Linked DNA regions of Saccharomyces cerevisiae S288C. The protein of the gene in region 1 purifies or fractionates together with the protein of each later gene. This does not show direct contact. Each region holds a gene or a part of one and is shown in the gene's direction. Other genes may lie near its edges. The genes, in order: PUS9 and MDJ2.

Evidence for each region.
Region 2: the proteins of PUS9 (region 1) and MDJ2 purify together in Saccharomyces cerevisiae (affinity purification with mass spectrometry, with the first as the bait; one large-scale study listed by BioGRID). This does not show direct contact.

What each region holds. Positions count from the first base shown.
Region 1 is NC_001136.10:384,713-393,038, reverse strand, and holds PUS9 (pseudouridine synthase PUS9), read left to right. Parts: upstream 1-4,137; coding exon 4,138-5,526; downstream 5,527-8,326. Other genes in the region: SLM3 (tRNA-5-taurinomethyluridine 2-sulfurtransferase), read left to right, coding at 1-380; GPR1 (Gpr1p), read left to right, coding at 982-3,867; BSC1 (Bsc1p), read left to right, coding at 7,452-8,326. UniProt on the Saccharomyces cerevisiae protein: Responsible for synthesis of pseudouridine from uracil-32 in mitochondrial transfer RNAs.
Region 2 is NC_001146.8:19,838-26,952, reverse strand, and holds MDJ2 (Mdj2p), read left to right. Parts: upstream 1-3,678; coding exon 3,679-4,119; downstream 4,120-7,115. Other genes in the region: EGT2 (Egt2p), read right to left, coding at 1-2,905; PEX6 (AAA family ATPase peroxin 6), read left to right, coding at 4,320-7,115. UniProt on the Saccharomyces cerevisiae protein: Plays a role in mitochondrial biogenesis and protein folding.

The sequences.
Region 1 (8,326 bases):
ATTACCAAGGGACCTGGTTTGTCAGTGAAAAACTAAGGGATACCAACGAAATCTTGATAGTCAGAGGAAGAGATAATCCGGCGCTATACAGTGACACTATGCGAATCGAAAACTTTTCGTCTTTGGGCCCCAGGGAGGACACTATAAACGCTTTCCAAAATACTGGTGCCTTGACATTACAATTCCGGTCCCTGCAGGTCCCAGTCCAAATTAAATCGTGCAAACTGAATCGCTCTGCCGACAACCTCGACATAACAATACACTTAGCCTCAAAACAACGTGCCATAACTCCTGGGCAATCGTGCTGTCTATATATCGACGATAGAGTCCTTGGGAGTGGGCCCATTTCCCATGTTAATAATAATGACACCCATGCATAGTGATGATAATGAATTTAGTATATCACCTTATACGATGCGCCGCAGCAATTAATCTTAGCAACATACTTGCCTAATTGAACCACGGTGGTACGATACAGCCAAGAAGAGCTCATGAAGCGGCTGACCATTTCGAAAAGTAATCTGTATATATGAAGGTCTTTTCCCTTGAATCATGTCTCAATAAGTAGTTCATTTTTTTTTGCCCTCTTGTTTTTCTTTTTCATTTTTTTAAATCACACTTTTTTTTCTTTTCAAGATTTATAAATCTTCCTTCCAGGTTTGAGCCGGACCCATTGTTTAATTAAAGCATAGAAGGCAACGAAGGAGTGGGTTATAGAATTAGCATTGCGGCAAAAACGTCATATTTATTAATATTTATTTGCGAAGGTCATATTCAACGCAATCGCACGTCCTCTTCCGTCTTTTTTCTAGCTTTTGTCCTTTTTTATTTGTCTACATCCCTTTCTCTACGGTATCCAGAAGAAGGTGTGTGTGTGTGTGTGTGTGTGTGTCTATAAAAAGCAGTAAGAGTCACCAAAAAAAAAAAACGACAAACAAGTGATCCGAAGTGTGACGAATAAAGCAAACTCTCCAACTCAAAATGATAACTGAGGGATTTCCCCCGAATTTAAACGCGTTGAAAGGGTCATCCTTACTAGAAAAGAGAGTTGATTCTCTCCGACAGCTTAACACTACCACGGTTAACCAGCTGCTGGGGTTGCCGGGGATGACCTCTACATTCACGGCTCCGCAACTGTTGCAGTTAAGAATAATAGCTATAACTGCGTCTGCCGTGTCCCTTATTGCCGGTTGCCTCGGAATGTTCTTCCTTTCTAAAATGGATAAGAGACGAAAAGTCTTCAGACATGATCTCATCGCATTTTTGATAATTTGCGACTTTCTTAAAGCTTTTATTCTGATGATTTATCCCATGATTATCCTTATTAATAATAGTGTGTATGCAACACCTGCATTTTTTAATACCTTGGGTTGGTTTACGGCCTTTGCCATCGAAGGTGCAGACATGGCCATAATGATATTCGCCATACATTTTGCTATTTTGATCTTCAAGCCTAATTGGAAATGGCGAAATAAAAGATCGGGAAATATGGAGGGTGGCTTGTACAAAAAAAGGTCATATATCTGGCCAATTACTGCATTAGTACCTGCCATTTTAGCAAGCTTAGCCTTCATTAATTATAATAAACTCAATGACGATTCTGACACCACTATTATACTGGATAATAATAACTACAACTTTCCCGATTCTCCCAGGCAAGGTGGCTACAAACCTTGGAGTGCATGGTGCTATTTACCACCCAAGCCGTACTGGTATAAAATTGTTTTAAGCTGGGGTCCCAGATATTTCATTATTATTTTCATATTTGCAGTCTACCTCAGTATTTATATTTTCATTACCAGTGAAAGTAAAAGAATTAAAGCGCAAATTGGAGACTTTAACCATAACGTACTAGAGGAAGAGAAAGAAAAGAAAAAATTATTTGGGCTCGGTCACTGGGGAAAAGCCAAATGGTATTTCAGATCCTATTTTAAATTGCCATTGCTACATCTTTTGAGAAATTTAAAGAATTTTTTCACCATTTCGTTCATAGATCCGAATGAGGAAACAGACGATTCAGGTAGTAGTAATGGAACTTTCAATTTTGGTGAGAGTTCGAATGAGATACCTACACTATTCAGAAAAACAAATACAGGTAGTGATGAGAATGTCTCGGCAAGTGGTGGAGTTCGCTTACTTGACTATAACAGTGCTAAACCACTCGATATGTCCAAATATGCAATGTCTGAACAGCCAGATTTGGAAAGAAATAATCCTTTTGATTGTGAAAATGACATCACACTCAATCCTTCGGAACTAGTATCCAAGCAAAAGGAGCATAAAGTTACTTTTAGTGTTGAAAATGAAGGACTGGATACAAGAAAAAGTTCAATGCTGGGACATCAGACTTTCTCTTGCCAAAATTCTCTAGAATCTCCTTTAGCAATGTATGATAATAAGAACGATAACAGCGACATAACTAGTAACATTAAGGAAAAAGGAGGCATCATCAACAACAACAGTAACAACGACGACGACGACAACAACAACAATAACGATAACGATAACGATAACAATAATAGCAATAATAATAATAACAATAATAATAATAACAATAATAATAATAACAATAATAATAACAATAACAACAACAACAACAATAATAATAATAATAGTAATAATATTAAAAATAACGTTGATAACAATAATACTAATCCAGCCGATAATATTCCTACACTTTCTAATGAAGCATTTACTCCGTCTCAACAATTTTCACAGGAGAGAGTGAATAATAATGCAGACAGATGCGAAAATTCAAGTTTCACCAACGTACAACAGCATTTCCAAGCCCAAACCTACAAACAAATGAAAAAACGTAGGGCACAAATTCAAAAGAATCTAAGGGCAATATTCATTTATCCACTGTCGTATATTGGGATATGGCTTTTCCCCATCATTGCAGATGCGTTGCAATACAATCATGAAATAAAGCATGGGCCTACCATGTGGGTGACATACATTGACACTTGCGTTCGACCATTAAGTTGTCTCGTCGACGTCATTGTTTACCTGTTCAAGGAAAAACCTTGGAACTATTCATGGGCAAAAACAGAATCAAAATATCTCATTGAAAAATATATTCTGAAAGGAGAGCTTGGTGAAAAGGAAATTCTGAAGTTTTGTCACAGCAATTGGGGGAAAAGAGGTTGGTATTATCGTGGTAAGTGGAAGAAAAGAAAATGCTGGAAATATTCTACAAACCCTCTGAAGCGTATACTGTGGTTTGTTGAACGCTTCTTTAAACAATTGTTTGAACTAAAACTACACTTTAGTTTTTATGACAATTGTGACGATTTTGAATACTGGGAAAACTACTATTCAGCCAAAGATTCAAACGATAATAAACGCACAGAATCTGATGAGACTAAAACGAATAGTAGCGATCGCTCCCTTCCATCAAATTCACTTGAACTACAGGCAATGCTTAATAACATCACGGCCGAAGAGGTTGAAGTGCCCTTGTTTTGGAGGATCATTCATCATATTCCAATGCTTGGCGGAATAGATCTTGATGAGTTAAACAGATTGTTGAAAATACGGTACAATAACGACCATTTTTCTCTACCCGGGTTGAAATTTGCATTAAACCAAAATAAAAGTCACGATAAACATCAGGACGTCTCAACTAACAGTATGGTCAAATCCAGCTTCTTTTCAAGCAATATTGTCACAAACGATGATGAGAATAGCATTGAAGAGGATAAGAATTTACGCTATTCAGATGCTAGTGCATCTGAAAATTATCTGGTCAAGCCCACAATACCAGGTACGACTCCTGATCCAATAATTGAGGCGCAGAACGATAATGATAGTAGTGATAGTAGCGGCATAGATTTGATAGCCTTCTTAAGAAATGGACCATTATAAAGTTTTTGTATCGCGATGTTTGAAAATGGAAAGTAAGGAACGTAATACAAATTGACAAGTAGCCGACATGAATGACGCTCACTTCTCTTATATATGTTAGGTAGTATATGCATTATAGAATTTATTCATTGAAGCAATGTGATTCCTCGATAAGTAAGCTTTTTTTCTGTCTGGCGGCGAACCATTAGAGAACAAAAGACCGAGTTAAGAAAAAGTTCATAAAAAACTTTTGAAAATGGATGAGTGCTCGTATAATGGAATAGGAAACTTATGCAAAGAAATAATAGGTTAAGAAATTTGTTTACAGTGCCAGTAATAATGGCTCGACAACTCAAAAGGAATGCATTATCTGCAGGTCTTGCTTTTGCAGGTAATGCAACCTCAAATGAGTTTGATGAACATTTGCAAAATGAGGTTGAAAGAGAGAGGGAAATTCAAAAGAAAAAAAAAATAAAGCGAACTCAATCAAAAAAATCGCCAGATTTGATTAATAAATCTACTTTTCAATCACGAACGATAGGCAGCAAAAAAGAGAAACATAGACAACTAGATCCAGAGTATGAAATTGTCATCGATGGCCCTCTAAGGAAAATCAAGCCCTACCATTTTACGTACAGGACCTTTTGCAAAGAGCGTTGGAGAGATAAAAAATTGGTTGATGTCTTTATATCTGAATTTCGAGATCGTGAATCTGAATATTATAAAAGAACAATCGAAAACGGGGACGTTCATATAAACGATGAAACTGCGGACTTATCTACTGTAATTCGCAATGGTGACCTGATTACGCATCAGGTACATAGACATGAACCTCCAGTCACTTCCAGGCCTATCAAAGTTATTTTTGAAGATGATAACATAATGGTTATTGATAAACCGAGCGGTATACCTGTTCACCCAACTGGCCGATATCGGTTCAATACAATTACGAAAATGCTTCAAAATAATCTCGGATTTGTTGTGAACCCATGTAATAGGTTAGATAGGCTTACAAGTGGATTAATGTTTTTGGCAAAAACTCCGAAGGGAGCCGATAATATCGGCGATCAACTAAAAGCTCGAGAAGTCACTAAGGAATACGTGGCCAAGGTAGTTGGAGAATTTCCAGAAACGGAAGTAATTGTTGAAAAACCTCTAAAACTGATCGAGCCAAGGCTTGCTCTTAATGCAGTTTGTCAAATGGACGAGAAAGGAGCCAAACATGCAAAAACTGTTTTTAACAGAATCAGCTACGACGGTAAAACGAGTATTGTAAAGTGCAAACCGCTTACCGGGCGATCACATCAAATTAGAGTACATTTACAGTACTTAGGCCACCCAATTGCTAACGATCCTATTTATTCCAATGATGAAGTATGGGGTAACAATCTCGGAAAAGGCGGCCAGGCTGACTTCGATATAGTTATTACTAAGCTAGACGAAATAGGGAAAAGAAAACCTGCTAAAAGTTGGTTCCATAGTAATGGCGGGTACGGTGAGGTATTAAGGCAAGAAAAATGTTCTATTTGTGAATCTGATTTGTATACTGATCCTGGCCCCAATGATCTTGATCTGTGGTTACATGCCTATCTATACGAATCAACTGAGACTGAAGAAGGAACCGAAAAGAAAAAGTGGTGCTACAAAACAGAGTATCCAGAATGGGCTCTGAGAAGATAGAGGTTCCTGACTTGTCGGACAATAATACATAGAAAACTGGTCTTCTGTTATAATCAGTCATTGGCCAATCAAAAATGACAGTAACAGAACATCACGCTACAATCTTAATCTTAATTTATAAAAAAGCTAAAATCTTTACAGGAGGAAGACAATGAGATGTGAAGAATGACCACTTCTCCTTTTCTTTTCCATTTCTTTTCTTCCACACTCCTAGTATTCCCGGTAGTATTCTTTTCGCAACCTAAAATTTCACGTAGCAGAGAAAATCGGAGTCTTGAAAGTGTTAACCATAAAATTTCATTGATAAAATGATCTTCGAGGCTTTCTGCTATCCAAATCCACGTTTCTTTTTATTTATTTATTAAAAACCATAAAGTAAAAACTTTGTTAAGGCTTGGAAGCGACCGAGCGCAGACCGCTTGTGTCATCGATTACTCAGATAGGAAATCTTTTATTTATCACCCGCTGAAGCACGCAGCAACAACCGGTTGACCGACGCAATTCTTTGTTTACTTTTCCTTCTACTCATGATCTTCTGTTCCATTTGCCACCCGATCGAAGAAAAAATTTTACGGCCAGTTGCTTCTTGGGCGTAAGGCTCCGATCTTTACGAAGAAATCTTAATTTTTGCCTGAAAGCATGGCTTAAAAGCCGAAAAAGCAAAACTTAATGATTGACAGATCTTTTTTAGGAAATTTTTTGACGGTGAAAAACCCGGCTTCTAGAAAAAAAAACGATGGGAAAAAAGAACTGGAAAAAAAAAACTTTAAACTTTGCTTATGTCAAATTTAAATTTCAATTCGGAATTAACACCTGCCGCCCCCGTTTATTGTCCAGCGGGGAGTCTTTGTCGTACTTTCTTCTTTTCTTCTTCTTTCTTAATGAAGCACCTAGTTTAAGGATAAAAAAGATTATATCGCTTGTCTATGGCTTACGTAAACATTATTTCTTTGATATACTATTCCGTTAGAATGGAAGGGGGCCATATGATTCTGATTTTCTTGGCCTGGGGGGATGGAAATTTTCCTTTTAGAGCTGCCTGTACAAGACCGAGTGTTCGTTCCTCCTTTAGCATAGAAAATACGGTTATTAGATTATTGGGGCATTTGGCCTGCTTCCATCTTAACGCGAACAAATACTATTCAAGAACTTGTGCTACCTCTTGAAACCAAATGTTAAACTGTTCTGCCATATTTGAAAATAATTTCAAAGTTGTGGGAAAAATATTTTGCCATCATACGACAAACGTTTCTCTGGCTGTGACTGATAGTCGTGTAGGTCCTGTATTATCTTGCTGACAAACATCTTAAAAAGTCTTTTGGAAAAAGAAAAAAATAAACTTTCCTTCTTTTTTTTTTGGTTCCTGCGGCTCTTTCAAGGGGCTGCCAAACCTTATATTCTCCTCCTGTCATTTTAGAAGGAGAGGTAGCGGTCTTTTCTTTTTTTTCGTGCCTACACGCGCACATGACGATAAAACTGGCCCAGGCGAGATCAGATCAGCATTTGCACGTTGCATTTTACTTGTTTTCTTATTGGCAAAGAAAAAAAGCTCGGAACAAGCCACTAATACCCGATTCTATGCTTACAGAATAACCGATACTACTGGAAAGAAAAATTTTTCACATTAGTTCGCTGCATCTCCATGATCGTTTAATTATTTTATATTTAAGAGAAGCAAATCACTTCCTCCAATGTCATGATGGTCTTGGCAATTTTCCTCCCCTTGTTGCAAAAGTGTAAAATAGGTATCCACATCATTCATAAGAAAACTACTAATATCATTTTGCCTCCTATTTGCGGCCTTGCTCACAAATTCAGCGACTGCTGATAGAATTGATGACAAGGTGAGCCCTTCATTTGATCTAAGCAAAAGAGACGAAAGCGTTGCTATCAATGGTTGTCCAAATTTGGATTTCAACTGGCACATGAGCCAACAGAATATACTACATTATGATATGGATGTTACTTCCGTATCATGGGTCAAGGATAACACATACCAGATTACTATTCATGTCAAAGCCGTAAAAGATATCCCTTTGAAATATTTATGGTCTTTAAAGATTATTGGTGTCAACGGTCCCTCAAGCACCGTACAACTTTACGGCAAAAATGAGAAGACATACCTAATCAGTGATCCAACAGATTTTACATCCACTTTTCAGGTTTATGCTTACCCTTCTTCTGACGGTTGCACAGTTTGGATGCCAAATTTCCAAATCCAGTTCGAATATCTACAAGGTGATGCTGCTCAGTACTGGCAAACTTGGCAATGGGGGACAACCACCTTCGATTTATCGACAGGTTGTAACAATTATGACAATCAAGGCCACTCACAAACGGATTTCCCTGGATTTTATTGGACCTACCAGTGCAAGGGAAACAATGATGGCACTTGTACAAAAGCCTCGTCTTCATCCATTACTACTTCATCCATTACTACTTCATCCACTACTACTTCATCCACTACTACTTCATCCACTACTACTTCATCCTCTACTACTTCATCCTCTACTACTTCATCCTCTACTACTTCATCCTCTACTACTTCATCCTCTACTACTTCATCCTCTACTACTTCATCCTCTACTACTTCATCCTCTACTACTTCATCCTCTACTACTTCATCCTCTACTACTTCATCCTCTACTACTTCATCCTCTACGAAAACTTCCACTACTACGTCATCTACTGTGAAAAGCTCTTCCACTACATCCATTGATTTTACTACTTCCGTTGACTCACATACTTCATCAAGCGTAGCCGATATTTATCGTTCAAGAACATCTACTGATGTCACCAC
Region 2 (7,115 bases), on another chromosome or scaffold:
CACAAACCTCAGTTGCTGTTGCTTTTTGGAATGTGCTAGTTTTCAATGTATCTATGGCAACTAAATTTGTGTGCTCGGCGTATTGGGCAGAATCTACTGTGGTACTGTAGCCAGCCACTACGCTTTCCTCGGTTGAAAGAGAAGTTTTGGAACCCTTAATGGTAGATACCGGGACTAAACTTGTATGTTGTGCATATTGGGCGGCACCCACTGTAGTACTGTAGCCAGCCACTACGCTTTCCTCGGTTGAAAGAGAAGTTTTGGAACCCTTGATGGTAGATACTGGGACTAAACTTGTATGTTGTGCATATTGGGCGGCACCCACTGTGGTACTGTAACCCACCACTACACTTTCGCCAGTAAATGTATATATAACTGAACCATCTAGTGTGGAAATTGGAATCAGACTACCATATTCTGTAGCTTGCCCAGACTCAGTACATGTAGTTAAAGTAAAATAGCCGCTTTCATCGGTACTCATAATGACTGTTGGTGTTTCCAGCGTAGAAATTGGAAGCATACTTCCATATTCAGTAACTTGAGCCGACTGTGTAGATGAAATTACACTATACGCATCACCTTTATCCGTTGCAGTAGCTTCGGTCAATTTGGTGGAGGACACCATACTAAAGGTACTGTTTCTACTTGTACCTGTAACGACTGTAGGCTTCAGGGTGGAAATTGGAAGTAAGCTGTCGTACTCCGTAACCTGGGCTGATTCTGTGGATGAAATTACACTATAGGTATCACTTTTATCTGTACCGGTAACTACGGATTGATTGAGCCCAGTGGTGAAAGCCAAACTCGAACTACCGTCTCTACTGGTGCTTGTAGTAGCAGTAGTTACCTTGGTGTCAATTGTGGACGATAATAGTGAGCTGCTATGATATGAGGGTTGAAGCGAACCAGAATGGGTTGCATGAGTGAAAGTAGCATTTCTGGCATTAGCAGCTGCTGTCGCAGCGTTAGTGTTGATTGTTGACACCGAAAGTGAACTGTTGTTTACGATAGATTGCGCTATTTCAGTTGAAGAGGCCACCTTATTACTACCAGTTTTATCGGTACCAGAAGTGGTGGTACTAGTAGTAATAGTCGAGATTGGTATCAAACTCCCTATTTCAGTAAGTTGTGCAGACTCTGTAGTAGTGGTTAGAATATAAGACCCAGAGGCAACCGTTGTGTTTGAAACAAATGGGCCGGATGATAAACTGGACGTAGTAGAACTAACTGAAGAAGTATTAGTGATACTAGAAGAAATACTTGTTCCTGTTATGTTAATCGCGAACGGAGCAATGGTGGCTAATTGAGTTGCGGATGATGTTGTGGAGTTGGAGACATATGGCGGATTAGTAGATTGACTTGCAGATGAAGCTCCTGAAACAGTAGTGTTTGCCAGGTATGGAGAGCTAATTACAGATTCAAGAACAGATGAGGATGAGAGTGTAGTGGAGTTACTAACATATGAAGGAGTAGTAGTATGTTGGGTAGCTGATGATACTGATATTGTGACGTTACTGGTGTATGATAGAGTGCTTGACAATTTTTCAGCAGATGAAACTGCTATAGTAGAAGTAGATTGGGTAACAGCGGTAGTTGTAGAATTATCAATGTAGGAAGCCTGTGTGACAGATATACTAGCTGAACTGATAATACTATATGTTTCAGTAGCAGACAGAGAAGATGAAGGAGTAGTAAAGGTTGAGTTTGAAGAACTTGGAGCCGATAAAGAAATACTTGAAGAAGAAGCTTGTTCACTGCTAGAAGAAACCGTAGAGACAGCGGACATGGAAGCGTCCGCCGAGGTGCTAGCACCGTCAACTGTAGAAGAAAGGATCCCGCTACTCAATGATGCAGTAACCGCAACTTCAGGGATAGCGGATGATTGCGAAGTATAAGAAGAAAGCGTTGAATTTGAGTATGTTGGTGTTATAGCAGCATCAGAGCTAGTTGTGTCATCACTGGTGGTGGAATCAATGTTAGCAGCTGACTCAGAATATAATTCTGAGGCTAGGGTGGTTGAAGTATCTCTCTTTCCTAAAAGTCTGACAGATGTACCTTCATCGGGATATGTTAATTCGACAGTATTTGATATGGACGAGGTAGATAGCTTCTTTGTGAAATAAGTCACACGGAAGTATAGCCCACCGCTGATTGTAGAATTAAATAAACATCTAATTTCATCTTCTGTGGAGTAGTCATGAACAGTTGTATATGGGATAGCATTAATAGGTTCGTTAAAAGAATCAACGGCAGTGACAACCTCAAACTTAGTTAACGAAGTATCGAATACGTAATCTGAGGAGGAAGATGTCTGAGAAGTCAAATAAACGGGATTTCTGAACGTTCTCATTGGTAAGTCAACGGTAAACCAGGCGGTATTATTAGTTTTGTATATACCACCATCTGTTGTTATAGCAGAAGTATTTTTAGCGACGTAATCAATAACGTCATTAAACATAGTATTTTCTGAATAGAAACTGTAAACGATGCTTTTTGGTTCTGTAACTTTGGATTTAGCATCTGATGTAAGCTGTGCAAGGAAGTTAAATGTAGTAGTTATATCTTCTGAACTCTTTTCTGGAATAGAAATGGTGAAATTGTTCGTCGATTTATCTGGGCGTGATATCGTGGCAACACTGTTAGAATTATGTTTTATGCTGAAGGGTTCTTGAGGGAATGAGCTGAAAGCATCTGGTACTTGGAATGTTATATTTTGCTGACTTCCCTTTGGAATAGACAGTTGCCCTTCTATTATGAACCAATGATCTGGATCCGTACATTCTTTTGTTTTGGTATAACTATCTGTTATTTGAATATCTTTTAAAATCGGTTGCGTTTGTGTGAGAGCGTTTGCTAGGCCGAGTATCGAAATGACTCGTACTAGATGTAACAATAGTTTATTCATTGTAGTGTTTTATATTATGCTTGTTTATGTTGATTCTACTGAAAGAAAACCATCAGAAAGTTTGAGTCTAAGGACACAAGTTTTAGGTCGGCAAGAATGTATTCTGCTTTTATATTTGTACTGTTATGGACGAATAAAAAAAAAACAAGCCACATTAAAAAGGAAGTACTAAATCGTATTCTTAGCATCAAACCAGCATCTTACTCATAAAAGCTTGAGTACCTTTTCGGAAGTGTCAGCCGAAAGTGTCAGTAAATTAGTCCCTTGTCAGCCTGCTGTTTTTCCTCACGGCGCGGAGCCAGCGCGTCCGAATTAGGAAAATAATAGAGCCAGCAAGAACCATTTCACTAAAGAGGTTACTAAAGAGGTTACTAAAGGAACCAGCAGAGGCTATATTAGTTGTGAATGGTACCATTCTATGCATAAATTTATTGGGATATGATCCTCCATGGTGGGACTTCGTTTAATATCAAATCCTTAGCACTGTTTTTTTTTGCTTTTTCTTTTTTGTGTTTCTTTTTCTTTGGCAGGGAAACGACATATCCAACATCCCATACACTATTGATCTTCGTTATGGCATTACTGCCACGCTCAACGTCATTTTTCGTCTTGTAGCTTATTCTCTGATTATTGTTATTGCAAGAGGTAAACGCTCATTGTGAATAACAATTTCGGAAACGGAGATACAATCTAGAAAAAAATAACAACAAACGAATTCGTTGCTAGGATCCACTCAATACACAGTATAGCCACAAAGAATAGGATATTCCAGCATGGTTTTGCCTATAATAATTGGTTTGGGCGTGACAATGGTTGCTCTAAGTGTCAAGTCTGGTCTCAATGCATGGACCGTCTACAAGACCCTGTCCCCTTTAACTATTGCAAAACTAAATAACATTCGCATAGAAAACCCGACGGCGGGCTACCGCGATGCACTTAAGTTCAAAAGCTCACTGATAGACGAAGAACTGAAAAATAGATTAAACCAGTACCAGGGAGGCTTTGCACCGCGAATGACAGAGCCCGAAGCCTTGCTCATCTTGGATATCTCCGCCAGAGAGATTAATCACTTGGATGAAAAATTACTGAAAAAAAAGCACAGGAAGGCTATGGTTCGTAACCACCCAGACAGAGGAGGGAGTCCCTACATGGCGGCCAAGATAAATGAGGCGAAAGAAGTTCTCGAAAGAAGTGTTTTACTAAGAAAGAGATAAAAGAACTTTATATATCATGTAGCCAATTGCTACACTTCCTTACACCACATAGTATACGGCGATAATCGTCAACACTTCCGGGAAAGTGCGGCCATCGGAGACTTTCAAACAAGTCATTAGAATTAGAACAAAGAACAGTAGTGGAGAGCATATATGTGTTTGCATACCCTCCAAAAGAAAGCGATTATAGTAACATTAATATGAAGGCATCGCTTACGTTTAGTCTCTCCGGAATATACGCCCCCTGTAGCATTTCTAGGGATATATATCTCGAATACGGCGATAAAAAAGCTGAATGTTTATATGGGACAATTAGATTGCCTCAGTACGGTCCAGGTTGCACGCCTGGTAAAATTGTACATTGTGTCCTGGATGATTCACTGCCCTTCTGTAGCATTGTTGTACCTTCCAAACTTTTTGGGTTTATGCCGACACAGCCCACTATGGATTTTTGCTATTTTGAACCCATATTAGACAATGTAGTACCTGTACTGGATAGCGTAACGTTTCTGATTAATGAACAATTGTACTCAAAACTAATGGACCTACCGCAAGAGATGCAACAAATACAATTTTTGCATTACAAATATAACATCAACTCCATGGAAACCGTGGTTCATTCTCGAGATATTTTAACATCTGGTCTTTGCCAAATTTTAAACTGCTCACCTTTCCCGCAGGGCCTTGTTGATTTTACAGAAACCCAATTGATATTAGTAAATGATACTGAGCAGAAACTAAGTGCTCTAAAATATGCTAACGAAGATGAAGAATATGCATTACCTAAAATAGGGACAAATTCTGCTTTATCAATTGATCTTGAATCTCTCCCCTGCACAATTTCAAGAGATCTTTTGCGACCTGCACCTCACATCAATGATGATAATTCAATATATGCCTTTACAGACGCTGAAACTCTACTGCGCCTGGATGTCACAAGTGGATCGTTTATAACAGTGTCAAATATGGGTTGCGTCAGGCTAGTTAAGCTGTTTGTTTTACTACTCCCCAACGGCTTTAAAAAAAGAACAATATACGCACCTCCCAAAATAATAGCAAGCTTTCCAGACTGCAGCGTCGTGACAATATCAAAGTCCAATATAGGCCATACAGATATTCCCATTGCTAATCAAGTTTTCATCTCAAGAGTTGGAGGCTGGCTTCAATCTCAGAAATGCTTTCAAAATATTATTCTAACAACCTTGAAAAAGTTTTTTAGCGAGAGCAAAAGGATTCTTTGTCAAAATGATTTAATCCCAATCGCTTTTGATTCAAGTATGGCTGATCTCAATATAGCAGAGGAAAATGATGAGTCTGATGACGAAGATGAGCTAGGGCAGTACTACAAGAACGATTCCCTTGTATGGTTCTTTGTCACAAGCGCAGAGCTCGATTGCTTCTCTAAAGATAATTCTCATTTTATTATTGATCCCAATCGGACGAAGCTAATAACAACTAATATCACTAACAGAAGACCATTACCCTTGAGTAGATCCAATCTTCAGAGATATTACGGTTTTGCTGAAACTTTTTACTATGATTTGCATATCTTCCCCTATGTAAGACAATTGGTTAACATATTAGAAACTTCCTTCAATTGTTCTCAAAGGGGAATCACCCTAAATGCCTCTGTGTTACTTCATTCCACTACAAACAATGTGGGCAAGGCTACAATGGTGAGATTTGCTTCAAAATATCTTGGTATACATCTACTGGAGATAGATTGCCTTTCGCTCACTTCAAATTCAAGACAACTGGATTCAACATCTAAGATTATTGGTTACATTAGGGCTAAATGTGAAAATGTCCTACCGTACGCATCACCTGCTGTGATTTTTTTGGCTCATTTGGATTCAATTTTGCTTGACGTAAACGCTAATCAAGATCCAGAGGCAATCAAATTACAAAAATCTATAAACTTCGAAATGTCTAAACTTCTGGACGATTTTACGTTTAAATTCCCAGGAACTACATTTGTTGGCTCCGTAAATAACATAGATAACGTGCCTTCCAGCTTTAGATCACATATGAGATTTGAGATTCTCGTACCCGTTCCGTCTGAAGCACAGAGACTGCGTATCTTTCAGTGGTACTTATCTTCACATGAACTAAACAGAGATGTTCAACAAAAGGTTCCAGTATCTTACATGGATAATATTTCATTTTCATCACTCTCTTCATATTCTGCTGGTTTAACTCCTTTAGACATCAAATCAATTGTGGAAACGGCACGAATGACGGCTACTGCGCGTTTTTACCAAGAATCAAAGAAGTGTGGATGGCTTCCGCAATCAATTTTGATCACTCAGGAGGATTTATCAAAAGCTACTTCGAAAGCTAGGAACGAATTCTCGGTTTCGATTGGTGCCCCACAAATCCCTAACGTAACTTGGGATGATATAGGTGGTATTGATTTTGTTAAAGGTGAAATATTGGACACAATAGACATGCCGCTAAAACATCCTGAATTATTTACCTCAGGTATGAAAAAGAGAAGCGGTATTCTTTTTTATGGTCCACCGGGTACAGGTAAAACTCTAATGGCTAAGGCCATTGCAACAAATTTTTCTTTAAATTTTTTTAGTGTTAAAGGCCCTGAACTGTTGAATATGTACATTGGTGAGAGTGAAGCTAATGTGCGCAGAGTGTTTCAAAAGGCGAGAGAGGCTAAACCTTGTGTCATATTTTTCGATGAAATCGATTCAGTAGCACCCAAACGTGGTAATCAAGGTGATTCGGGTGGTGTTATGGATCGTATCGTTTCACAGTTACTAGCAGAGTTAGATGGTATGAGTACCGACGCTGACGGTGTATTTGTTATCGGAGCAACAAACAGACCAGACTTATTGGACGAAGCACTACTAAGACCAGGACGATTCGATAAATTGTTATATTTAGGCATTCCGGATACGGATACCAAACAATTGAATATTTTAGAGGCTCTGACTCGCAAATTCGTGCTCGACAACGACGTAAAGCTTATTGAGTTGGCAAAG